Linked DNA regions of Drosophila melanogaster. The protein of the gene in region 1 interacts with the protein of each later gene in a pairwise test. Each region holds a gene or a part of one and is shown in the gene's direction. Other genes may lie near its edges. The genes, in order: CG8319, CG2926, fd59A and eg.

The links.
Region 2: the proteins of CG8319 (region 1) and CG2926 interact in a two-hybrid assay, tested with the Drosophila melanogaster proteins (one large-scale study listed by BioGRID).
Region 3: the proteins of CG8319 (region 1) and fd59A interact in a two-hybrid assay, tested with the Drosophila melanogaster proteins (one large-scale study listed by BioGRID).
Region 4: the proteins of CG8319 (region 1) and eg interact in a two-hybrid assay, tested with the Drosophila melanogaster proteins (one large-scale study listed by BioGRID).

What each region holds. Positions count from the first base shown.
Region 1 is NT_033777.3:9,623,172-9,630,543, forward strand, and holds CG8319 (uncharacterized protein), read left to right. Parts: upstream 1-4,149; 5' UTR 4,150-4,226; coding exon 4,227-4,738; intron 4,739-4,799; coding exon 4,800-5,439; 3' UTR 5,440-5,505; downstream 5,506-7,372. Other genes in the region: CG8312 (uncharacterized protein), read left to right, coding at 1-1,407; CG9427 (uncharacterized protein), read right to left, coding at 2,051-2,161, 2,256-2,393, 2,498-2,788, 3,064-3,165; Calr (calreticulin), read right to left, coding at 5,890-6,444, 6,537-7,009, 7,278-7,372.
Region 2 is NT_033777.3:5,582,548-5,590,925, reverse strand, and holds the start of CG2926 (uncharacterized protein), read left to right. Parts: upstream 1-2,545; 5' UTR 2,546-3,108; coding exon 3,109-3,405; intron 3,406-3,474; coding exon 3,475-5,754; intron 5,755-6,090; coding exon of another isoform or gene 6,091-6,138; exon of another isoform or gene 6,139-6,146; intron 6,147-6,247; coding exon 6,248-8,378. Other genes in the region: noi (noisette), read left to right, coding at 1-1,105; PolZ2 (DNA polymerase zeta subunit 2), read right to left, coding at 1,387-1,983.
Region 3 is NT_033778.4:22,863,986-22,872,688, forward strand, and holds fd59A (forkhead domain 59A), read left to right. Parts: upstream 1-4,173; 5' UTR 4,174-4,516; coding exon 4,517-4,869; intron 4,870-5,189; coding exon 5,190-6,207; 3' UTR 6,208-6,721; downstream 6,722-8,703. Other genes in the region: CG13532 (uncharacterized protein), read left to right, coding at 7,811-7,874, 7,957-8,150, 8,245-8,407. UniProt on the Drosophila melanogaster protein: Involved in development during embryogenesis.
Region 4 is NT_037436.4:21,804,814-21,813,150, forward strand, and holds the start of eg (eagle), read left to right. Parts: upstream 1-3,889; 5' UTR 3,890-3,991; intron 3,992-4,025; exon of another isoform or gene 4,026-4,424; intron 4,425-8,191; exon of another isoform or gene 8,192-8,272; coding exon of another isoform or gene 8,273-8,337. Other genes in the region: CG43895 (uncharacterized protein), read right to left, coding at 8,273-8,337.

The sequences.
Region 1 (7,372 bases):
AACGCTCGCTTGAGTTTGGCCAACGCCGTCTACGATAATCCGAGCTTGCCGCGCCGCAAGATCATGCTAAGTGTGGGCGGCAACAACTACAGACCGCCGCTGGAGCGCTCCAAGTCGGCGCCCAAACTGATGGCCATCGAGGAGGCCATTGGCGAGGAGGAGGGCGATGAGATCGAGGACACCAATGAGCCGGAGATGATGCCGTGCTGCCAGAAGGACTCCCTCTATCCGGCCATGACGCTGGGCAGGCGTCGCTGTCGTCGCGGCCACTCCATTCGGCGAACGGGCAAGATACAGTCCTTCTCGCCCTGCTGCAGTTCGCACATGGCAAAGGAGTTGCCGCAGGAAGAGACCAAGACGATGGCGGCGGCGGGCAGTTCCGCCAATGATGGCTCCGATTCAGACGACTTCGAGAAGCTGCTTAAGTTCGATACGACTTTGAGTAATGAGTTGTTGCCGTACTTCGACATGCAGCTGCACAAGAACAGCAGCCAGAGCATGGTGAGCCTGAGCGAACTCAAGGAGGAGGAGGGTGAACCGCTGAGCCTCCTGCCCACTATTAACAGCGATCCCAGCGCCGATCCAGAGGCGGACTACAATGCCGAGGATCACGATGTGACCGCGCCTCGACGCAGTGGCGTTTGCAGCGACGGCGAGGAGGACTTTCTGGACGATGCGGACGACCATTATTTCCGGCATGCGGCCATGCTGACCATGCTGCACCGCAGTTCGATGAGAAAGATGCGGGCGGCCGATCAGACGAGTCTTAAGTACCGCCATCAGACGCAGTCATCGATCTCCTCCAACGCGTCCAGCTCGACGACGGCCAGCACTTCGGCGGCAGCGGGCGGAGGATCCGCCCAGCAGGGTCTGACCAGTCCGGACAGCGACGAGGGTTCCATATCCAGCGGCTGCGAGACGGCCAGCACAGTCACAAATGCCAACCACGAGGAGTACAACAGCAAGCGGGTTAGCGATCCCGGCCAGCTGGAGCAGTCGCCGGACTTGGAGCTGGAGCAGGCGCAAGTGCTGGAGCAGATGATGATCTACCAAAGACTGGAGCAGCAGCTGCGCAAGAACAGCGGCGATGCCACCAATTACAGCAGCTCGAGCAGCATCACACTGAAGCGCAGCAATTCCGGCAGCGACAAGCAGGAGAGGAGCGACCATCCGGATGACGACAACAGCGACAGCGACGAGAGCGGCTACGTGGAGTTCCAGGAGAAGGAGCGACCGGGTCAGCAGCCGCTGATCAGCGAGGCAAGCGTTACGCTGGCCAAGATTGCGACCGTCAAGCCGCAGGTACCACCAAAGCCGGCTCCACGTCGCTCGCTCAGTCTCAACGCGGTGGCCACCGGCGCCTCAGCGGGCTCATCCGCTGGTAAGGCTCCGGGCACCGCTGTCTGAGCGAAATGCTTTAATTACAACGGAAACCCGTCTACAAATTGTTATTTCTGCACACCCGTCAGCGACCATAGCAAAACACAAAGTGCAAGAAATTGAAATCCTAGTTGTAGATTAGCTATTAGCACCTAGTCGTTAAGTCATTTGTTGTTGGTTCATCGAGAGGAAAACCTAACGATATTCGCCCATCCCCCATTTTCCATCCCATCATCTAAATCTGTGCCCCTTGATCCAAAAATAATGAATTTATATTGTACGCATTTGTAAATAAATTAGTCGCCCTACGCACTGCATGTACTATATACATTTACACGATTGTCATTGATGAACTGTATCTTACTTATCAATATAAATTATTATCTGAACGGTGTGTGTGCTGCACAGAGGAAAGTGTGAACAATAACAATTGGTTAAATTATATATATATGATATCAAAATTTGATTTATGTTACATTTAGAACGAATTATAGCCCTAAAATAGAAAGAACCTAAACCAATTTTGTACTGTTTGTTCTCTGTGACCTTATTGATTCGCTTGTGATTATATCGATTCCATTCCCCCAGAGGACAGGCATTCTTGTGCGTTTATGAATTTTAATTTCATTCCAAACTTGAGGCAATTACATTGGACATTTAGCAGATCTATCTACTGGCAGATTGTGCTGCTGCTGGGCAGCAAGTTTTGTTGACGCAACATATAACAAACCGTGCCGCGGAAATCGCGCAGCGAATGGTCCTGCAGCTGCTGATCGAAGACCTGTTGCATGTGGAAACGAATACGAATGTGAATAAGAAAACCAGTTGAGTGCATTCGATTACGGCGACGATTGATCGCGGCTACTCATACTTACGCCATTGTAGACGATGGTGGGAATGAAGCTCGGGCTGTACTGTTTGGTCACCAGCTCCGCCTGCAGCTGCAATTTGGTGCCCGTCTCGCTGGACAGGCAGTGGACCACATCGGTGAGCAGGCCTGCCTCATTGGCACACTGCGTATGGAATGGTAAAGGTATATATAATGGGTACAATGCACACAATGGGCGTTAATCAGTTGGGCAAACACAGCACAACGAGTACGCGGAAGGTAGATTACCTGATCAATGCGGGAATAATCCGGAGCTAGCATCTGGCACACCACGAATTTAACCTGCGCCGCCTGGTTTGCGGTGCTGTTGATGACGCAACTCTGGAGGCGATTGCCCTTGCACTCAGCCGGTCCGTGCTGGCAGTGGAAGATGGCACCATTGCGCTCCGACTGCGATTTTCCGAAGGGCACTAAGAGTATATCAATGTAGTCCCCGAACTCCTCGTAAACGGGTCCTAGCTGATGCATGAAGTTCCTGCTGTCCGGGCACAAGGACTCGTAAAGGAGGGTGATGTGCAGCTAAAAAAGGAATTATTCAGTCGAAAGATAAAAATCATATGATGCCTTTCACCTTAACTATTAATTAGGCTTCGCATTATACCAGTAATTATTCATTTTGGGCTACTGAATAATTCTAGAATCTAGATTCAGATAAATTTACATAAAGAAAGTAGTGTTTTCTTAATCATATTACTAGTTCTAGCCGAATTTAAATAGTATAGAGAACACAGCTTAAAAGAATTTGTTCACTTAATGTAAACAAAAAAGCCAAAGGCGTTGGATTGCAATCAAACCTTGTTGGACTGGCGCTTCTCCCGTGGCTTCTCCTCGAGCTTCGCCCATCCGAGGGACAGAACGAGAAGCAGAAGGCTTGCGGTGGACGCCAACTTCGTCATCTTGTGACTAGTAATTTGAGCTTTGGTTAGCCAAATCGATCGACCTTCGACGAAGTGCGGGAATGAAGGCTTCTGTGTCCGCAGCGAATGCCAAGCCCAAGCTAACGCGACCGTCGGACTCGATTTTAGTTGAGCAACTGAGCGCCGCCGTTTTGTCACATTCGGTGCTTAATTTTGGCTAGCAGCGAACTGGGAACGGGCAGAGCTGTTTTACCACCTCTCATCGACGTTCTCGCAGGCAAGCCGGTTTCTTGACTCAGCCTGATTTCGATTTAAAAAGCTTAACTAAGCATTCATACATTTAACGGATTCGCAATACGATAATTAACACTTTTGGCTTAGTGCAAATATTGGGAAGAAGTTACTATGAAGGCTAATAAACTTTTTATTACTTGTCAATAACTATGCTATTATATTTATTGTATTATATTTATGTACTTCTTTGTTAGATAAGCATAATTTAAAGATACAGTATCTCACCTGTTTCATATTCAACTTAAGCTGCTCCTTGATTTCCTGGCATATATTTTCAAGTACCGAGTAATATGTGAAAGTCTGCCATATCAGAAGAGACAGCATAAAGGATAGTATTATATTCACACTTAGTCTGTTCATGTCTGCAATAAATATACCAACTAGTAACTACGTTTTCCATATCAAACTAATTTGCATGGCCAATTTCACGGAAGCGTTTAAAATACAATTATTTGCTTTATTTGAGTCTAAACGGTGTAGCGCGAACTATTTAAATGCAATCGATTGGCGACTGTGGCTACAGTTATCGATAGATTTTACTTTTAAAAACCGTGACTCAATGAATCTAAATTATCAACTATGAATTATAATGAATTACTATTTTCAATTTCTTGTTATTTTATTAACAACATAACTTTGCTTACCTTTCATTTATAAATACCGTGATCGAAAATTGGAGTCACTAAAGTCACGGCAGAAAAGTTCATCTCTATTAAGCCAAAGCCAAACAAAGAAGCACACAAAAGTTTATACCATAGTTTATTGTTTACCAAAAATATGACCTGTAGTTAAACAGCAGTTAAGCAATGGAGGACCTGTGTCGAATTTGTGGCGGGGCCTCGGAAAACATGCTGGGCATTTTCGACGATCAGGTGGAAGAATATGTTGATGGAGCCAAGCTCGCTGAGATGGTGAAGACATGTGCCGACGTGCAGTTGGATCCCGACGACGCTATGCCCCAAAAAATGTGCATTTCCTGTGTCCACGATGCACGAACTGCTTACGGATTCAAGCGAAGATGCGAAGAGAACTACAAGAAGTTCTATTTGGCGATATTAAATGGGCAGGTCATCAAGGACGAGCCCAACGAGGAGGATTTCCTATTCATTGAGAACCCAGACAAAGGCAATCTGGAAGCAAAGAAGAAACTCAACAAGGAAATTAAAAAGACACATCAAACAGCTTCCAGAACAACCAAGTCTTCCATAACAACCAGTAGAGCTGGCAGACAGCTAAGGAGTATAAAGAATCAGACTTTCAAATGCGAACTATGCATCAAACAGTTCAAGCGCCAAATAAACCTCCTGGACCACATGAAGTAATTACAATCAATACATATGATTTCACCTGTTCTTAAAATTGTATATCTCATTCCACAGGGTTCACAGCAATTCACACGTATGCCAAAACTGCGAAGAGCGTTTTCTGTTCAAGGCCGATCTGGATAACCACCAATGTTATCGCAATAGCAATTCCACCGTCGAGTGCCCGGAATGCTTAAAGGTCTTTTCAAGCACCCAGAGCCTGGACAGCCACAAATGCAAGGATATGCAGGAGCGTTCGCCCTTTCAGTGCCCCCACTGTCAGCAGGCCTTTACTCGCGAACAAAACCTCAAGGCGCACCTGTTGATCCACGCGGAATCGAAACAGGGAAACGGACCCCACAAATGTTCATACTGCCAAACGGGATTCTTCAACAAGTCGGCCCTCAAGGTGCACATCCATGCGCACATGGGCGAACGGCCGCATGCCTGTCCCTTCTGCGTGTCCAACTTCCGTTCCAAGCAGGCCCTTAAGGTCCACATCCGCATACACACGGGCGAGAAGCCCTACCAATGCCCCCACTGCCCCAAGACTTTTTCGGACAACAATAACCTGGCGAAGCACCGACGACGCCACTCGGATGAACGGCCCTACAAGTGTTCCATCTGCCTGCAGGACTTCCGGGAGAAACATCATCTGAAGCGGCACTTTCTGGGCAAGCATCGGGATGGAGATCAAAAGCTAAAGCTAAAGTGATACCTTAAATTCTTGACCAAATACCACGGCTTACTCGAATAAATAAATTAGGATTCGGTTATGTTTATATCTCATTGTTTCTATAGTTCATATTGGGATTTAATTGAATTTAGGATTTATATTTTCGTAGAATTCGAACAGCACTTTGAAAACCATTTGGAGTGGCAACACCGTTTTTCTGTAAATCAAAATTCGATGTAGACACGACGATATAGACAGCGTTGCCATTCGGCCGTGATTTGTTCACGTGGCACCACCATTTTGATAAACAAGCTAAACAACCCTTAAATCGCTCGAAAAGAGCAATGGAAAAAAACAACAAGTTGTATGTTTATAAATTATAAGTCTTACAAATTGTAATTGTGGTTTCCGTTTGCTTAGAACATCAAAGCAGCTACCAACACACAAAAAATACCGAATATTTCTCGACGTAATTTTCCCTAGACGTCCTTACAATTCGTCGTGTTCGCTTTGATCTTTGTCTTGCTTAGATTCATCATCCTTCTCCTCATCGTCATCATCCTCGTCCTCATCGTCCTTGTCGGAAGCCTTTTTCGCCTCCTCCTCGTCCTTCTTGCGCTGCACCTCATCCTGGGCCTCCTTCATTTTCTTCTCGCCCGCCTGGGTGTTCTTGACTTCGGCAGCAGCCTTAGCGGCCAGCTCCACGTCGTCCGTGATCAGGACGTTGTCGAAGATAGTGCCGGACTTGACCTGCCAGAGATCGAAGCCCAGGGTGCAGATCTCCTTGCGCAGATACAGCTTGTCGTCGGGCACATACTCGGGATTGGCGATCTCGGGATGCTCCCAGGCGCCCTTGTAGTTGGGGTTGTCCAGCTGCTTTGGCTGCCACTCGCCCTTGAACTCAGGGTTGTCGATCATCGGTGGCTCCCACTCGCCGTCCATCTCATCGTCCCAATCCTCAGGCTTTGTGGCATCTGGGTCGGGAATGTGCTCTGGTTTGTCCCAGTCCTCGGGCTTCTTGTCATCGGGATCGGGAATGGTGGCCTACAGAGATTTACGTTGTTGTTTAATAACAATGAGCCAAACCGGTTTTTCGATGGGCTAAAGTCTGATTTGGGCGGGGATTTACAACTTACCCTATCGTCCCAGTCTTCGGGCTTGGTGGCGGTGGGATCCTTGATCTTCTTGGGGGCCAGGAAGTCCCAGTCGTCCTCCAGGTTGCCAGACTCCACCTTCTCGTTGTCGATGAGCACCTCGTACGTGTTGTCGGGTCTGACAATCAGCGTGTAGAAGTGGGTGTACACGTCATCTTTGCAGCGGATGTCTTTGCTGATTAGGTGGTTCTTGCCCTTGTAGCTGAAGATCACATGGACCTTCTTGGTGCCGGGTCCGCAGATGTCCGGGCCGAACATGATCTCGTACGGCGACTCGCCGTGCATGTCGGTCTGGTCGAGGGAGCAGTCGAACAGCTTCACATAGCCGCCGCCGCAGTCGATATTCTGCTCGTGCTTCACGGAGAACTGCACCACGAGGGGCTTGTCCTCGTTGGAGAAGCCATCAAACTTGCGGCTGGCCGCGTAGAATCGAGCATCCTGAGAGGTCTGAATGCCTATATAATGTGTGTCCACATCAATACGAATGCGCGCCGCGCGGAGGTGGGGGGCGAGAAAAAATGTGTATACAGTTACTATAGCTACTCGAAAACGTACACGTAGTGGTTTTTCTTCTTCTTCCTCTTCTTCTTCGTGCCCATGTTCTCCGCATACACGGGCACATACAAATGCAGATAACACGCCGACGAAAAATAAAAATGGCAGAACGAGCGAAGAGAAAGATTTGGAAAAGGGAGTGACGACACATCGACACATATACGCTACCTTTGTCGGCCTCAGCATCGTTGTAGAAGGTACCGGGGGTGAGGACGAATTTTCCGAACTCCTTGCCAGGATGTTTGCTGTAGATCCACGTATCC
Region 2 (8,378 bases), 4.0 Mb from region 1:
TCGCTATCTGGACCTCAACGAGTGCTACGAGCTGTACCTCAACTTGCGGTCGGTGGAGAAACTGGACTATATCACTTACCTTATGTCCTTTGACCACGTCTTCGATATTCCGAGAGAGCGCAAGAACCGCGAGTACCGCATATACATAGAGACCCTCAACGACTACCTGCACCACTTCATCCTCCGAATCCAGCCCTTGCTCGACCTGGAGGGCGAACTGCTAAAGGTGGAACTTGACTTCCAGCGCCAGTGGCTGATGGGCACATTTCCGGGTTTTTCGATTAAGGAAACTGAGTCGGCGTTGGCCAACACCGGCGCCCACCTTGATCTATCCGCCTTCTCCAGCTGGGAGGAGCTGGCCTCGCTAGGACTGGATCGTCTAAAGTCGGCTTTGGTGGCTCTGGGTCTTAAGTGCGGCGGCACCCTGGAGGAGCGAGCACAGCGTTTATTCTCTACAAAAGGTAAAAGCACCTTGGATCCCGCACTGATGGCCAAGAAGCCCAGCGCAAAGACTGCTAGTGCCCAGTCACGGGAGCACGAACGCCACAAGGAGATTGCCCAGCTAGAGGCTCTGCTCTACAAATACGCGGATCTGTTGTCTGAGCAGAGAGCGGCTACCAAGGAGAATGTGCAGAGAAAACAGGCTCGGACTGGTGGCGAGCGGGACGATAGCGATGTGGAGGCCAGCGAGTCGGACAACGAAGATGATCCCGACGCGGACGACGTTCCGTACAATCCCAAGAACTTGCCGCTCGGATGGGACGGTAAACCTATCCCCTACTGGTTGTATAAACTGCATGGCCTGAATATTAGCTATAATTGCGAGATATGTGGAAACTTCACCTACAAGGGTCCTAAGGCTTTTCAACGACACTTCGCCGAGTGGCGGCATGCGCACGGCATGCGATGCCTCGGCATTCCGAACACCGCCCATTTCGCCAATGTCACCCAGATCGAGGACGCAATCACGTTGTGGGAAAAACTCAAGTCGCAAAAGCAGAGCGAGCGCTGGGTAGCCGATCAGGAGGAAGAGTTCGAGGACTCGCTGGGAAACGTTGTCAACCGAAAGACGTTCGAGGATCTAAAACGCCAGGGTCTACTTTAGAGGACAAGCCTACGATTATGGTCGCTTGAGTACCGGTCAATTCTATATGACGCTTCCTCTAAAACCTCAACAGTCTTTATAATTCAAAACGGAATGACACTAAAATTGGTTTTATTTAAGGAATCTAATGTTAAGCCATAAAACCATTGGGCGTCCTTTTATTCATTAAAGAAAGACCATGGATCAGCCAACGATTCATGATTAGAATCAATTGTAGTTTAAAATAAACCCAACGTCGTGTAGTTTTCGATAAAATGGATAACAGTTTTAGGAATATAACATTAATTAACGATGAGGACATCCATTTTCAGTCCCAAATCATCTACCCTAGCCAAAGGAAGGAGGTAAACGGTTCGCCCTGTCGCTTGGGATTCAGTTTTTTGGGTCTGAAGCCAGGGAAACTCCTGGTACTGGGAGTCATGGCTGAAGCGGATGAATGCCTCCTGGGTAGTGTGCAGATGCACCTTAAACTGACAACTTCCGGCGGGCAGTTTAGGCGCCTGGTTTAAGCGCTGAGAGATTTTGTAGATGACAGAGCGCATGTTCTGCTCGAACTCCATCAAATGATCCTCTGCCGGTAGGCCACTCCTCTGGGTTTCTAGTTGCATTTTATAGCTCTCCAACTTCTCATTCTCCTTCTGATACACTATTAGCTCCAGGCACTGCAGCTCCCGGCGGCGAAGAAGTTCTTGTGCGGATTTTAGGACGCCGGCCAGGTAGTTATTAAGCGGTGGAAATATGGACACATAGATGGGCGAGTTGTACATCCGCTTCATTTTAAAAATGTGCGAGGGGTATATACCGCGCACGTATAGAATGTGATTCACTAGCACCTCCATCGCCTCCACGATGATGTCGGCCTTAATCTCCGCCTGCATTTCGCAAGCAAGCGCAACTAAGTTCACAGATGATTGTTTATTTTTTAGATTTAAGCTCCGTTCATTAGGGGTGGTTCACTAAAAAAAACAATGAATCGATATGGCGCGACATCATAGGTTACTAGATTACACAGATTATCTTTTTTAAATTGCTTTTCTATTTCTCGAAAGCCATATTCGTAAATTAAACCGTTGATATATAAAATTATAAATTATTAAATGTATCAAACTAATTGCATCTGTTTGGTCATTCAAATCGACATTTTAACAATCGATATTTTCAACGTTATCTGTTTATTATTTCAAAAACTTTAAGAAGGTAACATAAAGAAATTGATTTATGTTTATATTTAAATCTTTTAGTTTTTCATTATTTTAGTACTTTTTTGCAATCATAATTATTTTGCGTACTGTCCAGGAGCATTTTGTAGTAAGATTCAGTTTAAACAGAATTTAAAGAAGTGACATTTGGAGTAGAGAAACCAATACAATTCTTATTGAAACCGAATAATCTATACCCTTTCGATTTAAACAACATAAGGCGCCTATCGCCGTCTAAATGAAATCGTCTGTGGCACAAAAATATCGAAAGCGCTCGCTGACGTTAACCCACCTCTAGCTGAAAAAATGGCTGAAATCCAAGTGTGTGTGTAAAGGAAACTGTGTGTGAAAAATTTGAGTTTGTTACCAATTTGGAAATACCGACGTTGGGGCTACAAAATACAGGAGCATTGCCCACTGGCCACAGCATCTGCCCTTTAAACGAGTCATCACGGAAGCTGTTGAGCGATAAACGCCAGGCGGAGTTCCCGAAAATTGGCAATTGATGCCACTCACGGAAATCGGCACTCGGCACCCTGCACCCTGCACTTTTCGGTCACAGCGGCCTGCAATTACAGACAAGCCAGGCCGAAAGGCGACTACGCGGACTCCGGCTGGGCATCGTATCGAAAATGTGGCTACCAGGCCGAGAGCAGAGACTAGCAAGAACGAATAACTAGATGCAAATCGTGCAAATAGCACTCCCTATATGTAATATATATGTAATACACACGCGCCTGCCCTGCCGACAGTGTACACACAACAATATATCGGCTTGATACACACATACGCAGTTGCATCAGCATGTCCGACCGTGATTCCGATGCCGTATCCGACGCTGGTCCTCGCCTGAGTCAGCAGCGCGGGCAGCGGAACCGGCGCATCATAATGCGGATCGAGTTCAAGGACTCGGAGGATTCGGCGTCGGATCAAGACCGGGATGACCGCCCCTCCTGCTCCGCGGCGACGCGCCTGAGACGCAGCACCCGTCGACAGGAGGTGGCTTCGCATTCGGATTCCGACTCCGTGCCCCGGAAGTCTACGCGGAAGCTGCGCAATCGCTACGGGCCGCGGAGCGATTGCTCATCCAGCGGCAGCGATGTAAGGCATTAAAGTTGTAACCACTTCCCAGCGGCATCACCTATTAATGCACTACTTCATTCATTCCAGATCGATCAACTGCCGACGAGAACCAGAAAACGAAAGAAGGTAGAGTCCTCCGATGAGGAGGAGCCCGAGCGGACGCCCAACGCGGTTGGAAGAATCCAACCCATGCCCGCTGACCCCGACGACGGCTTCAGTTCCGACATCAGCAGTAACGATCTGCTGGAGAAGTGCCCCATTTGCTTGCTCACTTTCCGGCAGCAGGAGATTGGTACGCCAGCAACATGCGAGCACATATTCTGCGCGGCCTGCATCGACGCCTGGTCCCGAAATGTCCAAACTTGTCCCATTGATCGCATTGAATTTGACCGGATTATCGTGCGGGACTCGTACGCTAGTCGCCGGGTGGTGAGAGAAGTGAGGTTGGACCTGAGTAAGTCCAATACTGAATTGGTGGTAGATGACGAGGCAGACACCGCTGCGCTTTCCGAAGAGGAGGTCACCAACTGCGAAATCTGCGAAAGTCCGGATCGGGAGGATGTAATGTTGTTGTGCGATAGCTGCAATCAGGGATACCACATGGACTGCCTAGACCCGCCGCTGTACGAGATCCCAGCTGGGTCGTGGTATTGCGACAACTGTATTGACTCCGACGACGAGGATGATAATGAGCAGCTGGAGCTGGCTGACGACTTGGATCAGCTATACGAGGATATTAGAGGTATGGGCTTGCCGGAGACTCGTCTCAGGGTACGTGAGGTGCAGGAACCGCCAAGAATCCTGCGCACCCGTCAAAACGAACGCATAAGGGCTGCTGTACTGCGACGTACTCGCTCGGGCGCTACGTCGGCGGAAGATTCCACACTGACCCGGACTCGTACCCGCACCACCACCACAACAACAACCACTACTACAACTACTCGGCGCACAACCACAAGCACGAAAAAAAGACCTGTTCAGCGGCGGCGACGGAGAAGGACTCGCTATCGCACCTACGTGGTCGAGTACGATCTAAACAACTTTGACGAAAAGTTCGCCCTTAAAACCAGCAAGAAAGTGATAAGACGGCGTAGGCGTCGGCGTCGTCGTGGAGTCGCCACTGCCTCTAGTGAGGGGCCTGGTCGACGTCTTTCAGCCAGCAAGCGACTTGCAGAGCAGATGGGAGTAAAATCGGAAGGATTTCAAAGTTCTCATCTAAGTGGTGGAACAGCCTCCAGTTTCTCGCTATTTGGCAATGCGAACGACCTGGAGTATTTCTCCGATAGTGAGCCAGACGCAGTGAGCCAGATCAGTTCTGCTGGACTCGGATCGACTGCAGTGCAAACCTCAGTGCGCATTGGAAGCATTGGAGCACCGCGCATCCGTAAAGCCTTGCTCCAAGGCAAGGCGCGCATAGCAGCGCCGCCCACAGCTCCGACTTCAGCTCCCGCTGCAGACATACTGTCTAGCATTTTGGATTTGCAGGATCGCTGGCACGATGCTTCACGTAACCTAGGCGAAGTGCATATTAGGGCGGACGGTACCCTCAATATTCCCCAGAGACCTGCACCTACAGCGACGGAAGCGCCTTTACCGAAAGCAGGTACTTCTAAGACCGAGAAGCATTTAACCCAGGCACCGCTTTACCAACAGGGAGGAGGAGGACCTAACTACAACAGAGGCGGAGGAGCAGGCTCAAGTGATAGTTACAACAATCGTTACAGCGGCAATACCAGTTACCGCGGAGGTGGTGGAGGCGGCGCTGGAGGATCTAGCGGTGGTAGTGGTGTGCCCAGCAGTAGCGGGGAAGCTTCCTCGCGACACTTGACCGGTGAAGGAGACGGCCAAGGAGGCGGTGGCTTTGGCAACCAAAACTTTAGCAGCTCCGGCTCCAACAACAACACTAATATGTCAAGCTTTATTCCGTTCCATCTGCGATTCAACACGCCCACCCGCCAGCAGCAACCACGACAGCAAAACGTGCTGCCAGCTAACCAACCCACCCCGCCTTTCCCTGGAAGTGCACCGCCTCCAGCCCCAGTAGCGTCGTCATCAAACAATTTTTCGGGACAGACTCCAATGTTTGCAGCTCCCCTCAATCATCATCCTGCACCAGTGATGGGTATGCCAGTTGTGCTGTCCATACCACCTCCGCCTATGCCACCTGCCAGCCTTCCATGGAACAGTCCTCTCTTCAAGATAACCCCACTCCAGCAAGCACCGGCCAAATCCAACGATGGCAACCAAAACGACGATGTTGACAACTGCCCAAACTTCTCAATTTACTCGCAGGAGTCGCAGGCGGTTGCTAATGCCTCGGCGATGCCGTCAGGGGTTCCACACGGACCAGCGGATGCATCTGATAAGGTATGATATCTATGGGGTTTTCAGAATCTAGAGATATTTAACATGAATAATAGTAGGAGTATTTAGTATACGGAACCGAAGATTTTAATGTTGATTTAGGTAATTATCAAACAAATTAAGCGAGGTAAAGAAAAAAGTGATTTTGATATCAGCTTTGGTGATGAAAAATGTTTGAAGTGGGTAGTTATTAACTTTATTACCAGTAATAAAAGGCAAAATTATGCAAACAAAAAAGCATATTTAAAATTATATAGGTAAGTAATGGGTACATCATTATTCTCGCCATAATCTTCCGAAACAAAAAGATACACAAATGTATAACATTTTAATTTTCAGTTTTTAAAACCAAATATAATGTTATTGAAACCAAAGCAAGCAATATAATTAGTTAAGTAAGTCACGTTTGATAGTTTTTCAGACCAATTCTTCTTCAACGCTTACTAATCTCTAATCTTCTCTTTTCATCTTCATTTAATCCTTTCCTCTGGGACAGGATGATGACGATATGAATGAAGATTTAGTACAATTAGATGATGATGATGAGGATACGGATATACCATTGCCTTTGGGGCCTGAGCCCGAACCCGTTCCCGAAAAAGTCCCGAAAAGTAGTGATGATGACCTCTACGAGCCAGAGAATCCAACCGAAGAACCTGAAGAACCCGAAATGTTCGAAGAGTCCTGTGACGCTGTTCCAACGGAGAAGTCCGAGTCCTCAGATCACGAGCCAAGCAACTCCAACGTGCAAGCTGCAGCCCCAGAGGAAAACGATGCTGAGGAAGCTAGGACGCGCAGCACTCCCAGCCCACTGGTCAAAGAGGATCGCGCTGCGGATCGAGATCGGGCCAAGGGAGTACTCGAGCTTTATGATGATAGCGACTGGGAGGAGTTAGACATTGACAAACCGAAAGAGTTCGAGAAGGCACTGCTTACGGAAACGGAGGCACAGGTCAGCCCCAAGAGAGCTCCGTCTAAGCGACCACCATCAAAAAAGGATACAAGCTTAGAGAGAGATGTCAACGAAAGCGGTAGCGAGCACGAGCAGGATCGCTCGTACACGCCCTGTCTGGACGAAAAAAATTTGGCAGAGGAGGAAGAGGCTGGGACAACGCATCAAAACAATGTAAGTACGAGTCCCAAGACTCGATCCTCTAAAGTTTCCGGCGACGAGGATGAGCCAGAGAAAGCTGTCGGTACGGATATTCAGTCAGAGGACGAATTGAACAACGAAAACGAGTCACCGCGACGCAGTCGAAGCCGTGGCACGGCTAACAATAAAAAAGACAAGTCAAAGTCGCGTTCAAAACGCAACAAGGGCGAGACTTTCAAAAAGGTCGGCAAGCGGCAAAAGGATCGCAACTATCGTGGAGACAAGTCGGAGCCAGATCGGAGCCCGCGTCCAGACTCCAGGAGTCTCACTCCAAAGATGCGTTCTAAGAGCCCGAGAGTCAGCAAGAGCATTAGTCGCAGTAGGAGTGGAAGCAGGAGCAGATGTAAGAGCAAGAGTTTTAGTAGAAGCAGAAGTCGTTCCCCAAGTCGCAGTAGGAACAGGCGTCGACGTAACAGCCGTTCCAAGTCCTACTCCCGCTCTCATTCTAGGTCTCGATCGCGTTCGAACTCGCATAGCCGCCAGAGATTTTCCTTTCGCGGAAGGGACCACCAGCGCGGCTTTTTCCGTGGCCGTGGAGGCCTCCGTTTAAACTACCGCAACCAGCAGTTCCACAACAGGCCGTTCCAGCATTACGGCCAAAATTATCACCAGAACCAAAACTACCACCATCAGCACAATCAGCACCAAAATTACTTTCCACCCAATCAGCATGGCCAGCATCAGCAGTACTTTCAACGTCCCAAACGAAGGGAACTACCTCGCTATGATGTTCGAAATGTGGTGGGCACATCGAGACATCAGACACAGGCCAAGGATCGCTATGGACGCGACGCAATGCGGTCGCACAGAAGTCGTTCGGGAAGGCGAAACTCACGCAGTTTCTCACGTAGTGTTTCTCGTGACTCGCGGGTCTCCCTGCGCTCCCGATCTGGTTCCCCCAAGCGACGCAGCTTTAGCATGTCGCCCACGCCACCGCCAGGAACGTCACCTCCTCCTCATAAACATGGTAGGGGCCGTCAAACCTCTACGAACAGACGCTATGCACGCTCACCCTCACCGGCACCGTCTCCCCGCAATGAAAGGGCGACTAGTCCAGTTCAATCAGTTCACTCCAGAAGATCGCGCTCGCACACTCCCAACCGCATCAACGGAGATGGTAATAGATCATCCCTATATATGGGCTCGCCACACTACACGCCACGGATAAGTCGCAGCCGCAGCAGAAGTCGTTCCAAGAGTCCCAAGGATATGCACAAGAAGAAAAAAAAGAAGTCAGATAAAAAGAAAAGGAGGAAGAGGACGGGCAGCAGCAGTCCGACGACAGCAGCGCGGATGCGTCGCATCTCGCGGCAACGTGATCCCTTCGAGGATGCCGACGACTTCCTCGCTCCCCAGAGAAAACGAAAGAAGGCAGGAATAACGACTGGTCAGTGGTCACCATCGCCATCACCCGGTCGCTGCGATTTCCTGCACGACAGCGCCCTTCAGGACAAAAACTCGTCTTGGACGCCCC
Region 3 (8,703 bases), on another chromosome or scaffold:
CCTTTGGCTGCGGTTATAGGTAGCTCGAGCAGATCCAGCGGCAAATAAACAACAATAACACACGATGCCCACTTTTCCACCCGCCCAGTAATTTCCACACTTGTGCTGACACATTGAAAGGGCTTTGGGTTTTATTTATGAATTGAGAAATTGACGTCCTCTGCCGAGCGGAGTGGAGTGGAATGGACTGGGTTCCCGAGGAGGCTTAGGCACACGGTGCTCGATTTTTATTGCCGCCAAACAAGAGGCTTAGGCACAGGCATCACCACCACTACCACTACCACCACCACCACCACCACCATCATCATCGTCATCATCATCCACATCAAATGAACAAAACTGAATGAAATGAGCCACGAAACATTGGTGTGTGGCACTTGCTGTTTGTCCCAACCCTCTGGTACAAAAAAAAGCCGGGATAAATCGAGCGTGAAATATTCCAGCTCGTCCGGAGGATTGCGATCCGGATGCGGGGCAGTGAGGATGGTTAAATCGAATCCATTGTTGTGCTTGCCACTTGTTGGCAGGTTGGAGAACGGAGATCCCGAAACAGAATTTGCGGCTGCAGTTGTGCAATTTGCTCGCTGCCTGCTGTGATTTTTCCCATTGTCCTGGGCAATCCTGGGGTGGCTTGCCCGCTGATTCTCGACGTCCTTGTCCATCAAATTGAGCGTCACTTAAGTATTCAAGTGCCTGTATGTGTATCTCCCACGACCAGAGCCCCAGCCTGACTTGTTTTCTGCGCCTTCAGATACTTCAAAGATTTAATAATCACATAAGAAGTGAAGCTATTAAACCTGCCATCCCTCGCCATTCTCGAACTTCTTACGCGGCCTCAAGTGTTTGCCTTTGCGATCCAGCAGGTGCCACCGACCCTCAGATGCCGTCCACCGATGCAGGATGCGACAGGATGCGCCATCTCAAGCGCAAATTAGAGGGGATCCCCTTCGTAAGATGTACACTTGTCGAAGGACATAACCACTTTCTTAAATTAGTAGTTGTTGGAAATGTCGTACAGGTGCTGAAATATTTCGATATATACAGATAATGATAATATTAATAAACAAAATAATAATTAAATAATAATTAGATGCTGCCATAGCCATTTTGATTTACTTGAATATCAAATGAAGATATCTTATGACCTCTTTTTGTTCCCAGTGCATAATGAAGGCGGACCATCGTCGGTGGCTAGCAACTGTGTCCTTTGTTTGAGCCAAAAGTGGCGATTGTCCTTGCCGAATCCTTGCAGTCAAAGCAATTCAAGTGTCAAATCTTTTATTTGCCTTTTGCAGATTTCGCAATAAAGATTTGTATTGTCAAAGTCTGGGTTCAGCCAAGCCAGAGACCAATCCCGAATCGGTATCCGCAGTCCTTACCCCTCCTGCCCACTGAGCGCTCCGTTTCATCCGCTTGGCATATCCTTTGCCGGCTTGCTTGTGTGCAATAAATTTGCTGACAAAAGAGGGATTATTGCTGGATCATGCCGCTGTTGCTGCAGCGCGGGATGAGGACGCAGGATATTCATGTAGATATATATAGCCCGGAGATGGAGCTGGCGGTGAGGCTGAGCAGGATGTGCTCCTGGTGGCTGGTTCCTGTCAGCGTGCATTCCTCGGCGTTATTGTTTGGCCATAAGTTAATTGTTCCCCTGCGAAAGCTTTAATGCACCGCATCCTTACGCTCAACTGGCCGCCCGAGTCCTTCGTCCTTCATCCGGACTCCTGCCGTGCTAAGGCGGCGATTAACCGTAGTCTGACAGGGAACATGGATACGGCTGTGACCACGGATTGGCCCAGGATAGTGGCTGTTGGAATCGTTTAATTGCCATGGAAACTATTGAGCAGGCGGATAAGTAATGAAAAGTGGATTGAAAGGGCAAATATTTTCGATATACTAGATGCAACTCGCGGGGGATAAAGTGGGCTAATGTTTTTGAGGATGACTGGTAGCTATAGATAGATTATCCTCTATGCATGGTGAGCTATATTGTTGTTAACCATTCTACCGATACAGTTACACATATATTAATGCTGACTCTAGTCGGAATTAATTACCAATTGTTGTCATTACAGTGTACACATGCAATTAATACTCAATAGTTTGAAACACATATTCCTTTTCGATTTCCAGCATTTTCCAGTAATTGGGTACGTTTTTGCTTGATTTACCTGTTTATAAAGTTCCGAAATAGTTTAAGCGTTAGCTTCGAAAAACTTGATTACATTCTGTGTCCAACCAATTTCATTTGGCTGCCATGAAATGTTCTGTTTGCTCATAAAAAGACAAGGATAAGCCTCAATAAATTTTCCGCCTCGAAATTGGGGAGCAGGCAGAGCAGAAACGACCCCATGTAAGTATTGTATATACACCCTTCTATTTATGCCCCCTGATAATACCAACACTACTAAGCGGGATAAAGATACATACCGATGGCCGATGCCACGCCCCTAAAAATCTGGCCAAAAAATCATTGATTTGTAAGTGTAACAATGGGTAAAAGGTGGGCGGGCGTGGGGGAATTGGCAAATGGGAATTTTGGGGGTGGCAAAGCTAAAATAGAATAATGAAAACGATGCCAAGAGTGAAAGAAGCGACATCAATATGGTTCTGAATTCGAAGATGGCGGCCCTTATTGTATTCGTGTCTGTTTCCATGCATCTGTGTGTGTGAGTGAGTGTTTGGTTGTGTGTGGGTAACTTCCGCAAAACTGGAAAACTAATTTGAACAAAGTACAACAAATAAAAGTGACTACTGAATGTTTAATTTGAAAAGGGAAGGCTCCAAACACTGAATGGCGAACAACAACAATGGCTACAACAACAATGTCTAACAACTGGAGAACAAAAACAGCGAAAATGAAAAAGAGAAATAGTACAAAACTCACTTGGATACAAGTACAAATGCAGCAAACACATGTACGTCCAACCCCCTCCCGTCCCACCCACTCTACTGCTCTCTCTCTCTCACTCTAGTAGCCCCCATTGTGCTCGGAGGATGTTGGTGAAAATGGTGCATTTGATTCCATCTCACTTCCACACCCAAATAAAATATACAGAAAAAAAACCAATATTATCTATATTAGATGTATTGTATATTGTATGTATTGTTTTAAAATTATATTTTATTTCGGTTTTTTCGCATTGCTAAAATGACATAACTGTTCTATGCATTTTTTTTTTTTTTAAATGTATTTAATAATAATACATTGTATTATATACATATTTCAGTTAATCGTTCTTAGAATAACCAACAAAATATATCCTATGAAAATAAATACAATTCTACTTATCTAACTGCAAAGAAAAGTCCCTATAACTTCGTTACTTAACTTAAGTAAGATTTGTGGAATTTGGACTTTACATAATTAAACACATAATTAGATTCTTTTCTTTTTTTTCTTTCTGTGCATAGGGACAGAGGGCTGGGAATGAGATTGCGAGCCCGAGAGAAACCAAGAAACGTCGACATACGGTTAGAAAAACATTCGCACATAAAAATGCCAACATTTGAAGCATAACATTTGGGGCAGAGGAGCAGAGTGGTGGTTGGCAGGGCGAGTGCGAGGACGAGGGAGGGCCGCAGGGGAAAAGGACGCCTGCCTCCATGTGGCTGACATAATGAAACATTATTAAGAGCCACGACGTCAAAGCGGCAAAAGGTATCTAAATTTGCGCAAAATGTTTATCCCCCCCACCGCCGCGTTCGTTGGCTTCTGCAGTCGCTGCCAATTTGCCGCCGCTTGGAGAGAGGAAAACACAAATATCGCATTTACAGCCAGGGCTCTCCACCATTTTGTGAGGACTTGCAGCGAGTGGGAGAGGGATGGCACGAGCTAGTTCGCATAGATTGGTTCGCAGGATATCAACCCATCCCCCGCTAGAAAGAGAGGCTTGGCCGGGCTCTCTTGCTCTCTCTCCCTCTGCTGCGATGCTGTCGGGGCGCAGCCAGGATGCTGCCAGGATGCCGTCAGGATGCTCTGCCCGCGCCAACGGCGACGTCGGCAGTAGAATCACAGTTATTCGAGATACGAAAACACAGCAACGGCGACACAAAAGCTCAGGGAAACGTCAGCGGCAGCGGCAATGGCAGCGGTTTTTCATAAATAAATGTTTGAGTTATGTAGAAAAACATTTTGGGCGAGAAGATTTTCGTTTTCGTTGCGATTCAGTTAACATTTGGCCAGCGGATTCCGCCTTCAACGGACGCGACGACGGACTAGGCGCTAGCCAACTTTCCACTTTCCACACCACTGCTGGCCATATGTACAGTTTATCCTAGCAGCTAAACCGGAAACGACGGTAACAGCGAACGGTTAACGGAAGCGGAAATAGAAAAGAAAATATCAAATTCCAAGTTGAATCGAAAAGCATATGCAAATGCCAAGTGAAGCAAGTGAAACGCCAAAACGAACACAGTTCCTGAGCAAAATAGTTAAATAACAGTGTTGCGTCCTCTAAATTTAGTGAGTCCAATTCGCGGACTCAAATAGACTACAGTGTATACCCGCTAAGACATGCACACCAGCACGGATCCCATGCACACATTGCACGACAGCGTCTCCCTCTCGCCGCCGCTCATCAAAAGCTCCAGAGGCGGCTCCTCCATCGGCAACGGAATCGGATGCAGTGCGTCCTCGCGCACTGCCGCCGCAGATGCCATGTCCATGGGCTGCGACGACAGCGACATCGAGCCGTCGTCCATGGGCGGAAGTGGTGCCGCCGGCGGCAACGGAGACGGCTCGGGATCTTCGGGTGGTCCCCTGGTAAAGCCACCATACTCCTACATAGCTCTAATCACCATGGCCATTCTTCAGTCACCGCACAAGAAGCTCACGCTCAGCGGGATCTGCGATTTCATCATGTCGCGGTGAGTTTGCCAGCAAAGTTAATATCCTTAAATGAAGAAGCAATAGTTTGATTTTTTCCAAGTTATCTTAAAACATCAGAAAAAGAGAATAAAAGTAGTAGTTTGTAAAGACGATAAAAATAAATAAATCCTATAAAATTTCAATTGAAAACATAGAAAAGAAGAGACATTCAGTGCTTTAATCGATTTCAAAAATTATAAATTTTAAAATGTGATATTTTATTTACTGATTGCAATGTAAGTGATCTAGATAAACAACCAAATTCTTTAAAAAAAATTCCTCGAAAAAATGTTAAATAACTTGTGCATTTTACTTGTAGCTTTCCATACTACAAGGACAAATTCCCCGCCTGGCAGAACTCCATCCGGCACAATCTCAGCCTGAACGACTGCTTCATAAAGGTGCCCCGCGAGCCGGGAAATCCCGGAAAGGGCAACTTCTGGACGCTGGACCCGCTGGCGGAGGACATGTTCGACAACGGCAGTTTCCTGCGCCGGCGGAAGCGCTACAAACGGGCGCCCACCATGCAACGCTTCTCGTTTCCGGCGGTCTTTGGCACGCTGTCTCCATTTTGGATACGCAAGCCCGTGCCCCTCGTGCCAGTGCATTTCAACGTGCCCAACTTCAATGGGAGCAGGGAGTTCGACGTGGTCCACAATCCGGCGGATGTCTTTGACTCAGCGCTGCGAGCGGACAAGAAGTTTAACTTCTTTGCGAATGCCGAAGCATCCTTCTACCAGGGAAGTCAGTCGGGGGACAAGTTCGACCGGCTGCCCTTCATGAATCGCGGTCGAGGAGCGGATGTCCTGGATGCACTACCGCACAGCAGTGGCTCCGGCGGAGGAGTGGGCGGGGGATCCGAGAGCAGCCGTGGCTCCAAGTACAAAAGCCCATACGCCTTCGATGTGGCGACTGTGGCCAGTGCTGCGGGCATTCCCGGCCACAGGGATTACGCAGAACGACTGTCCGCCGGCGGTGGTTACATGGATCTCAATGTGTACAATGACGATGCGGACACAGAGGCCGATGCGGAAGCCGAGGGAGATGACGACTCATGCGAGGACAAGATCGACGTGGAGAGCGGCAATGAGCAGGAGGACTCACATATCTCGGACTCGGTGGACAGCGCCTGTACAAATCGCCTGGATGCGCCGCCGGAAGCGTTGATCTTTGAGGCTTCTGCCGAGGCGTCCGATTCAAGTCCAAGGAGACGCTTCGATAGCGAGCCCCTGGTTCTGCGGACCAGCAAACAGAGCAGCGCCAAGGACTTTCGCATCGAGACGCTGATTGGCCACCACCTGCATCGCGGTGGCAGCCAGGAGGAGACCAGCGACTAGGCGGGATTCCCACTCGCTTGAACCAATTGGCTTGTGTACAGTCCATTGAACGGTGATTTCAGTTTCGATCTAAGCACGTTTTAACAGCCCACTAACACCACCACCAGCAATCCCCAGGAATCCAATCCGAGCAGCAAGTAGTGATCAGTAGGTGTATCCGTAGGATGTAGGAGCCAGCACACGAGTTTTTAAATGCGACCAAATCGAAGTCAACGCTATAGTTGCCAGTCCACTTACGTACTAAACATATATCTGCGCGTAATATCTATGTAAATCTGAAGCATCGCACGTCTATAGTATACTTTTAACACGAATTCTTGGGGTCTGGAGTCGGGATTTCAGGTTCTAGACCTATATCTACCATGCAAGTACTAATCATGTGTATGTGTGTGCGTGTGCGTCTGCGTGTAACTGTAACACATCCAAGCAAGAGGAACACTATTAACTATAAATTAGACTAAGATTTTTGCTGATGTTATTGAAAATTGAATAAACAACAACATAATAATAGTTTACACGGATACATGTTTGACTGGTAGGTACCGATATACGTGTTGTTACTACAGCTACTACAGCATGTTACTAATATGTTTGTAGTATACTAAATATTAATTTTTAATCCTATTGATACCTGTAATATTGTATTATTTTTATAATTATATTATTATATGTGGCCACTCTCTTCCTTGTAATAATATCCTTAAAGGGATCCCTCTTTTCGACGTTTTGTTACCTTTTGTTTGCAATAAAACACCCCGAGTTATTTGAATTTACCGCCCAGCAAACCTGTCCAGGTGTGGCACCCCTGCCTGGAAATCAGTTCAGCTTTAGCGCCTGCGCAGTGACCATCGCTCAGCTGATTTGGCGCAGGACGTAGTTGTGCCGCCATAGAACGCCGTGGAGTTCGGCGCTACCAAACGAAAGCTCCGCTCTCCCACGAGCGTCCCGTTGGCTTCCAGTGTTAAAACATGAAAAGCTGCGCCTGGCAGCGGGACAACAGTGTGCCGCCGAAGATACCAACACCAACTATTGGTATCCGCCAGCAGAACTCACGCGCTACGCCGAGAGTACGAACTCCACTTTTGGCACAGTTCGCCCCCGCGGACTCCATTCCGCACGCACACACTATCGCAGCCGTAGATGTTCGTGTATGTGGGCTGCAAAAAGTCGATTTTTCGCTAACAAAAAGTATCCTGTCCTGTGTGGGCAAAACTTTAAATGGCCCGGGCCATAAAAGGAGATTGCCATAGTTGCGACTTGCAGTGGGAGATGTCCTGCGAGGAGCTGCTGCGTCCGAGGTGCTGAGCTCGTTGGGCCGAGAAAAGTTTGTGCCAGTCAGTGCCCGTATCCCCAGAAAAAAGCATCCCCCTGCCATTCTGCTTCTGTGATGAGATTGGTGATAATGAGTGCAACCAAAGGCCCCCATGTATCCACATAAAAGCGCAAGCCGAAAACAGACAGCACCGCGATAAGTAGAAACGTCCAACCACCACAGAAGTATTCATTGCCACGCACAACGACGGCGCGTCCTCGCGGAACGGGAGGATCACGAGCGACAGGATCTGGAGTGCCCAGCGACGCTGAGGCAAACTAGTCGGCTGTCATGGCGGGCTGGCGAGGACGAGGCCTACGCGCCACGCTGCTGGCCGTGCTCGCGTTACTCTCGGGTGAGCAGTTCTCGCATACATCCTTTTTGGGTTCCTCCAAACTAATCCTGTACTCCTCCTACTCCGCCCCCATGCCGCATAGTCACTCACTCGGTGCGCATCACCAACCTGCGGGTGCCACGCACCTACACGCTGTTCCGAGACCACGAACCCGATCCTCTGGTGCTCGACTGCGAGGTGGAGATCGGGCCGCGGGAGCAAGGATTCGTCCTCAAATGGCTGTTCAATAACCACTCCATCTACCAGTGGATACCATCGGTCAAGGGGTTCGCCATGGTGAGTCACTCGGGGTCTTTGGTCGCACCGAATTAATTAAGATTAATCGAACTCTGTCTTTGTCTTCGATTTGTTCTTGTTCTTGCGCCTGTAGGGCTTCATGAAGTCGAAGATAGACACCAAAATATTCACTATGGAGGGCAGTCCCGGTGTTATATCGATAAAGAATCCCGACTGGAACATGACGGGGGAGTACACCTGTGCAGTGCAGACCTTCGAGTCCACGGATAAGCGGAGTGCCCGCCTGCAAATAATCGGTGGGTGTCACGACCACGGCCAAAAGAAAAAGGATCGGCGGTGAAAGATGTGCGGTGGCGATGGGAATGGGAATGGGTAGCAGGTGGTGGTGGGGGTCGAAAGGTCTAAGGTGGTGGTTCTGCCTCTGGTTCTGCCGGGTAACCTGCACCCGCCCCCATCTTGACTTGGCCCCCGCCACCAGGGTGTTTGCATAGGTGTTCTCGTGTCGGTGTTTACACAGGGAGACAAAAATTATGATTTATGTACTTAAAAGCCATTAACAAAAGCCGAGAAAGCCTTACTCTAATGCGCTGGC
Region 4 (8,337 bases), on another chromosome or scaffold:
GGATGAAAGGAAATCTAGATCGCGGTCCGCATCCGACAGATGCAGACACACATTCAGATCCAGATACTCTTGGGAGCCTTTCGCTTTGGCAAGCCTTTAGCGGTGGCCTAAAAAAGGATGTTAGTGTATCCCATGACAGGACGCAAACTAGTTTCCTCTTAAGCAGAACAAATTACTCGACCGATCTGCACCGGGAGTTATGCAAATTCATCGCTGTGTGATTTATCCGGGCTGTGAATGTCTTGAGGTGAGACGAGGCCTGTCCTCGCATAAAGTGAGGCAACTGAAACGGTCGGCCCGTCTATTGTCCTTGCCAGGACGCCGACGGATCTTCCCTCGCGTCGACACCTTTATGAAGTGTCAAAGTCAAGGGCCGGGAGCCAGTTCATTAATTTGACATGATCCGTGATCTTGAAACGCTCAAGAGCCGCATTAATACGGGACACTCAAACTCACTCCAATTCGTATTCGCATTCAGTGCTCGGTGTTTATGTACATAATTGTTGCATAATAAACACATTAATCACCGCTGCTTGGCTGAAGTTCCGTGGCAGATGAACGAGTCCTGTTTTGCAGGGGATGCTTAATGTGTCTGACATTGCTAATGGTTCAAGATGATGTTTTGATGCATTTCGTTTAAGTTCCCCCTCCCCAATTTCACAAAAAAAAGCCCAAAAGTCTGAGCATCTGCCTTTTTCTCAATTCCTTGAGAAGCAGGGAATGCGAACGATTGTTGGTATCTAAAGCTTCAGTTTGTATTGATATCGGATGATGGTTTGCTTGATTTATGTAGATTCTCAATAAAATGTATTAAGAGAATTACTTAATTTACCTTAAGGCATTAAATACTTAACAGTAAAAGTATCCAAATGGCATCTAACTTTTGGTAACAACAATTTTTGAGGAGTATTTTCATAGATGACCCATCTTCCATATATCCTTATATCGCCAATAGTATTGTCAGTGGCTGGGGGGTCGGGGTGAAGGAAAGGAGAAGATGACTATAACTTACAGCTACAACAACAGACAGTGGCAAAAATATGTCCATGTAACGTATTCCTCACTCCCTCTCCTTCGCCTGTCCAGCAGCTATCTCTATCTGACTTCATGCAATGCAATTCTAAAAATTGAATTATTCATGGCGATTGTACGACAATCAATTGAAATTGAAATAAAATGCTGCCTGCCAGTTGTTGCCGATGTTGTTGTTGTCGATGTTGTTGCGTCTAAACGCGTTGTTGTTGCAGCGTTTGCTACCGCCTTTGACATGTGCGCAGATCGATTTTCAGATTTTTTTGGCCCGGCTTGGCCTGCGTCCGTTCAATCGAAATTGTGATTTAAAGTATCTGTATCTGGATCGATTTGGCATCGATCGCATGTCGCCAAATGTCTTCAATCCTCTGGCATTCCGGCCTCAAGTCAGCTTTGGAAGATTTGTCGCCTATTTTGTGTGTGCCTCGCAGCGATTTCTTTCGCAGATTCGTCTGGTTTTTTGGCCATGGCCAATTTGTATTTGGCCATGCCAGCGCACAAAACAGACCTGTTCAAGTGTTTGCCAATCTCCGATTGGCTTGACTGAAGTTTTCACTGAAAATTTGTAGTGGGAAAAAGTCACTTTACTGAGTTGATCCTTAAGCTTTATTTAAATAGAAAACTTTAAAATGTAAGTAATAAATTTAAATTAAATTTGTGTAAAGCTTAACTAACAACAATATGAACTTGCCAAAAACAAAAAAACAATTACTTGTTGAAGATTTGGTGCATCATTGGCATTTACAATTTCCTAGCGATTTAGTTAATTTTAAAAGTGATTTAAAAAGTATATCTTCCAAATCTCTTATTGATAGAATTAAAATTCGGGAAATTCTATATCCTGAGTACAATTTGTTTAAGTCCGTCTTGAAAGTAAGCCAACCAACTCTGTTCATAATTAGATTAAAGTTTCTTGCTCTCCGCTCCGTATCGCTTCAAGTGGCCACAATTTGAGGCAGATTGCGCTCTAATAAATATGGGCAGCCATCTAAGCTAATGCCCCAACTCATCACCGAGTTGAGAGATGAGCACGCAAGCAGGCGAGATACGCATGCGCCCGTTGCCAAGGCCCAAACTTAATTAAAAATTTGGAGAGAGCGGAGGGAAAATTTCAGATTGCCCACGAGCTGAAGAAATTTTAATATGACGACCAAATTGCACCGCAGCAGCTCCAGGAGCTGCATCGCCACTTGGCAGATTATGACGACAACTATACTGACAGGCAGAGCCAGAGGAAACTACTCCAAGAAACTAGCCAGATTCAGTTGCAGTCGCAATCGGAGTCTCCGTTCCAGTTCATGGCTAAATGCTTTTGGCTGTGATAAATTACACGTCGTTTTAGAGTGTTGCGCTTCCTTGTTACTCCGTCAAGTGGTGTTGACACGGCCGCGGCGAATGCAGAGTATTAAACGATCTCCGCCGTGGCACTCTTCTTCCGTCCAGTGGTGTTATTAAAATGAAATCATCATCATCACCAAGTGACAGAAGCCGGGAGTCTGAGCCTGAGCCTGAGCCTGAGTCTAAGTCTGAGCTGAGATGAGTTGAGATGGAGGGACAGACAACGACTGGTCAAATGCCCGGGGATCACTTTAGTGGGCATCTCGGCGCACGAAGGCAGTCATCTGATCATGCTTATGACAGGAGAATTCAATTAGACATATGGAAACGCGTTGATTGTTCCACTGGCAATTTTGCGCCTGGTGGCAATCCGATTTAAGCAGCACAGAACTAGCATTGATTATTTTGCAATTGTTGTTGAAGTACCGTATCGAATGTATTTAAATGGATACCATTTAGCCCTAATAAAATTGATTCCTTGTTAAACAATCTCATGCAACTTTTATTTTATTTACGCTCACAAGAATATAGCTTTATATATACCATTAGTGGCAGAATTTTGTATTCAACCTAAAAGAATTCTGCAGTGCCCCCAGATAGAATAAACCAACATCTATGCATATGTTTTCCATGTGGTCATCTCCAATCGTTATCAATCCGACAAAGATTCACATAAAAATATTTAAATATACGAAAGACTAGGGAGGCGAACTTGTTTTCTCCATTTTGCAGGTCAAGCCACAAATAACCTCTGATGTTTTCTTGGTTTCTCCCAATGTTTGTTTACACTGATCGCCGGGCATTAAGTGCCCACCTCCTTGCCACATTAGTCGTCCAATACGAGTTCAATTGGATGCACATGCACAACGAAGCAAACCAGGGCCAACACTCTCGCGGCCAATACACTCAAATGATAACAGTACCGTGTGTAGAGTCAAACGGGGGTAAAAAGACATCAGCCAACAGCCAACCGCATCGACACAGTATTCAATGGAAACGAACGAAACGCTTGGAGATCGTGCCGGTGCCAACAGCCAACCACAGTTCAGCTCTCAGAAGATGCGACGCTTTAACATTTACGGAGAGCGGAGAGTCGCGAACCGAGCTGGAAACGTACAGCAAACATGTTCGAAGCGAGGTCGGTAGCAGGGTGCACTTGGAGAAAAATGTTAGCACTCTTAATATACATAAATGCGTTTTGACTTATTTCAGTTAGCGTTGTAGAAACAAAAAACTGCATTTTTTCAGGGTACTAACTTGTCAATAATATCTTTAATATATTATTTAATAATATATATTTAATATAATTGTTTTAAAATTCTCCCGAAAATAACAAATCTTGTTTCGTTAACAGTTCAGTCAACAGATCTTACCGCCATAACATTGCTGTTAAACCGGCAGAACGGAGCACGCGCACCATTCGCCACAGCAGCTGTTTGCCAAACAGGATTTCCTGCAGCGACGGCCGCCGATTAACAGTTAAGTTTCGCCGTGCCCTGCCACTGTTGCAAACGCACGCACACAATCTAGCGACGCGTGCGCTTTGTTGTCTTGTTGCCGCTGCTGTTGCTGTTAGTGCTGCTGTTCGTGCTGCCGCGCTGCAGATGCTGCTGCTGCTGGGGTAAGATGATCTTTGAGGCCAGGGCCGCGCTGCCAGTTCGAGTCTGTTTGGCGCTCAGAACGACGGCGACGATTTAGTCTCGGATGGACGCTACGCTGCCAAGCACCGTCAGTCAGGCTTTCGCTGTTCTCTCGCTCTCGCAATCGCATTATATCCGACCGATCGCGAAGTTTTTCGGCACTATGTGCGCCACGTGATTGCTGAAATCTCCTTCGAAAGCCGTCGCTATATCATCAGCGATAATTCGGATTTAAGGTGTCATGTGAAGAGTGTGTTTGATATAATCAGTTGATTTTCATTCAAACGTATCCCAGTGTGTGAAGTTAAAAAAAAAACTGGAAAAATTAACATCTAAAGAGGAAAAAATAAATAAATAGTGAGTTGGTAAAAACATCGAATTTATGCTGTTGTGGAAATATATGATCTGGAAAAGGTAAGATTTTGTTGTATATGAGCTTATGCTATTAAAAAATGGCTAAGTCTCCCTGCTGACAAACAAAACATATTAAGAGAATAAATAAAACATTTATTCATTGAATTAATGAGACAACAACAAGTTGAGATGCTGGACACATAATTCAAACGCTAAAACAATAGATAAATACAAGCAATATATATATTAAAGGCTTAATTGAATAAAAACCATTTTGCATAATTTCCATAAATTTGTCGGATGGTTGTTGTAAGTCAAAATAAATCGCAAATAAAAGATTAATACCGAAAACAATTGCATTATAAAAACCAAACCAATTAAAGACTGAAATTATACAATTTAATAATATTTTTAGCAATAATTGAAATACTTAGTACAAACTATTAAAATCAAAACAAAAAACCAACAATAAAAAGACAAATCTGTTGCGAAGAAATGGCCCAACTATCCCCAGCTATCAAGGACCAAGCTTAACTCCCATGAGTTCGTACTCACACCACTAAGGAGGACCAAGGAGAACCAGAAAAAGTGTAATGGTGAAGACAAAAGAAGCTCATTGACATGCTCATTAATAATGTTATTGCCTTTTGTGCGATAAGTGTCAAGAAATTTCTACAATAGGGGCTGCGAATGGACAAAGATGGGAGATATTCAAACATTTAATTGTCCAACTGCTGTCGGCAATCAAGCAGAAAAGGGCCAGGGGCAGCCTGAAGCGACTGGATCGTGGATCCTCGATCGCGAAGGAAGAAGGATCAAGGATGGAGGATGGAGGATGGAGGATGGAGGATGGAGGATGGAGGATGGAGGATGGAGGATGGAGGATCGCAGATCAAGAATTGCGGAAGCAGACAATTCAAACTAGAGCGTGTGACTGCTGAGTGGATTTGCATACTGCGAATGTCCGTCTCCAGTGGTTGGCAGGGCTAATAATAAAGCATATTACCGGCAATTGTGCGCGAGATGGAAGGCGATTCGGGTGTAGGAAGGGTTTGGGCTTGGGTTTGGGTTTGGGTTAGGGCTTGGACTTGGATTTGGATTGCAGATTGTGTCAATGCTCCGGGGTTCGGTTCAGTGGGCTGTGTTCTTGATTCTTGTTCTATTTTGTAGCGGCTTCAAAATATTTGAGACAATCGTGGTTTGCTTGTTTGAACACCTTTTCTCCCTCTGTTGCCTTTATCAGATTTGGCATTGTCCATCATTTTGTTTGCTTTAAAGGACACATTTTTTTGGGACCTTGTTTATTATTCCTATTGAGAGAAGTCCAACGTTCTGCCCACTTTTTTTCAGCTCTGTCAACAGCGAGTTGATGAGCTTGTTGAGAATGTGGCAGCGACCAACTGATCTGGTTCTTATTGTCTAAGCCGCTCTGAACTTGTCCCCATCGAGTTCATCTGCAGATCTCCATAGATTAGATCCGAACAATCTCCTCCACTTGGCTTGCGATCAATATACAGTTGTAGTTTCTGTAGCAGTTTAGGTTTCTAATTAATTGTCTGTTTCTGCCCAATGTGTAACATTAATCTTGGCTTAATCGATAAGTCTGACAGCCAAGATCGTTCCTATATCTGGTCTGATCTGTTCGGTTCGATATACACTCAGAAATGAACAATGGGGATTCTGTTTTTAAATTTGAAAGGAACCTGCAGAGTCAAATATTTCGAATTGGCACAACCAAAGACACTAGAATGTCTTTGGCACAACTCTCGTCTACTCATTGTTTTCCCACAAATCGAACTGGCCATCGGACCTAAGCATTGCATTCACCTTAAATTTGGGCTCGGCTTGAGGACTTGTAATTAGCTCGAAGCATGGGAATTATGTACTCCTCCATGACATCTACTACTTCTATGCGCTGACTTAAAGGGGTCCTAAAGATGCCCCAAGAACAAGACTCTCAAATATGCGCCCGGTTACGTGGATCAGTGGCCTTGGTCGTTGTCGTCGTGATAAAGCCAAAAAGATTGAGATGCCGCCTGCGGATAGGGATCTGCAAGTTTATAGCTCGAGCGTGCCGCTCAATTGGATTTCAATCGGGTTTCTCAATAAGGATCGAAATGATTTTTGACTTTTTGGTTCTTTATCTACGAAGTTCAGGTACGGCGAGATGTATTGCAATTTACAGCACTTCTATGCATATTAAGTGCATAAATATTTAGTTTTATGAGTGCTTATTTATGAAAGCAGTGCAGCAGTAATATAGGTTGTTCCCAATGTCGAAGGTAAATGCACCTATTTGATGTAATTATACTCATTTTTCGGCTAACACGATGCTTATGAATCCATTTCCCCAAAACTCCTCCATTCAGAGATCTTCTTTCTAGCTGAGTGCAATCTGGCTTACCACTCCAGCTCCACCACGAACTGCGGTTCTGAGTCTTTGGGACCCAGAGATGGAAGATCTCCTCGATGATTTTCCTGCTTTCTGAAAAAGTGCACCGCTGTGCCGAAAATTGTCACGGTTTCGCGGTCGATGGCTCGCTTGCTGTGAAGGTGCAAATTTAATGTTTGCCAATTTAGCAGCGCTCTGCTGTCACCTTTGGTGTCCATTAGCGAGCGTTTATATGCAAAGTGCCGAGCATTGGCAGGCCAGCTCCGGATCTGGCAGCCGGCGGGCTTTGGACGGGGCCAACCATTATCACAGAAGCAGCATCACGTTGTGGCCACACCACCTGCTGGGCGCATTTCGCGGAGCAGCTCCCTGCCACTTGCATCCCTGGTCCGGAAAATATCCAGACTGGGAAAACTCTGGGGAGCACTTAAGCTTGCTAGCTGGCTGTCATTGGAGGGAGTCAGGGCGTTCTGTGGCAGTTCTGGTTCTCAAAAGGGCCAACGAGAATTACGAAGATCCTGATGGTTACAGAGCCGCACGTAAATACTTGATTTTTATTTATGATAACAATACTTAAAATAATAAAAATATTAATTATTCTTATTATAATATTAATAAAAATAATGATAATAATAATAATATTAATAATAACAATAATAATTATAATAATAATAATAATAATAATAAGAACAATAATAATAATAATAATAATATTTATAATATTAATATTATATTATATAATATATAATATATAATATTATATTAATAATAATATTAATGATAATAATAATAATAATAATAATAATAATAATAATAATTATAATAATAACAATAATAATAATAATAATAATAATAATAATAATAATAATAATAATAATAATAATAATAATAATAATAATAATAATAATAATAATAATAATAATAATAATAATAACAGTAACAATACTAAAAAGAATAATCAGATTTAATCAAAAATGTATCCGTTTTACTTTTTTTTTTTAAATAAATGTTTCTCTCTTTAAAAAGGTTCTGTATAAATGTAATTAATTATTTAAAATTTCCCTTCTGACGACTAACAAGTAAAAGTTAAATTTCATTATCCTACCATTTGTTTTTGAATTGCTTGATCACATAGTTCATATAATTTTATTATCCTTGTATTGGACTTCACGATTTATTTATTATATATATTATCTCTTAAACAGTTTATATGTTTCTGTTTCTTCATCATAAAATAATATACTATACTATATTATAATATAATAAACTATACAAGTTATGGACGAAGAAGTCTGGCCATTTGTGGCCCGTATTTCCCCAAAAGTGGCAGCTAAGGCCTCCATGGAATACATTATTAGCGCACAAATGTGTTTAAGAATTTATATTGTATATCCATGACAAAATTGATCCCTCCCTCGGATTCTTCATGCTCTTTAAGTAGTTGACGCAAGATTTTCGCAGATATTTTATTTGCGCTTCGCCGTATCTTTTCTCGCTTGACCTTAGGCTTTATGGGCTAGCAAAACAAGTCACTGTAGTACATTGCATTAGATGTGTGAAAGAGTCTTCCCGGGAAAAGGG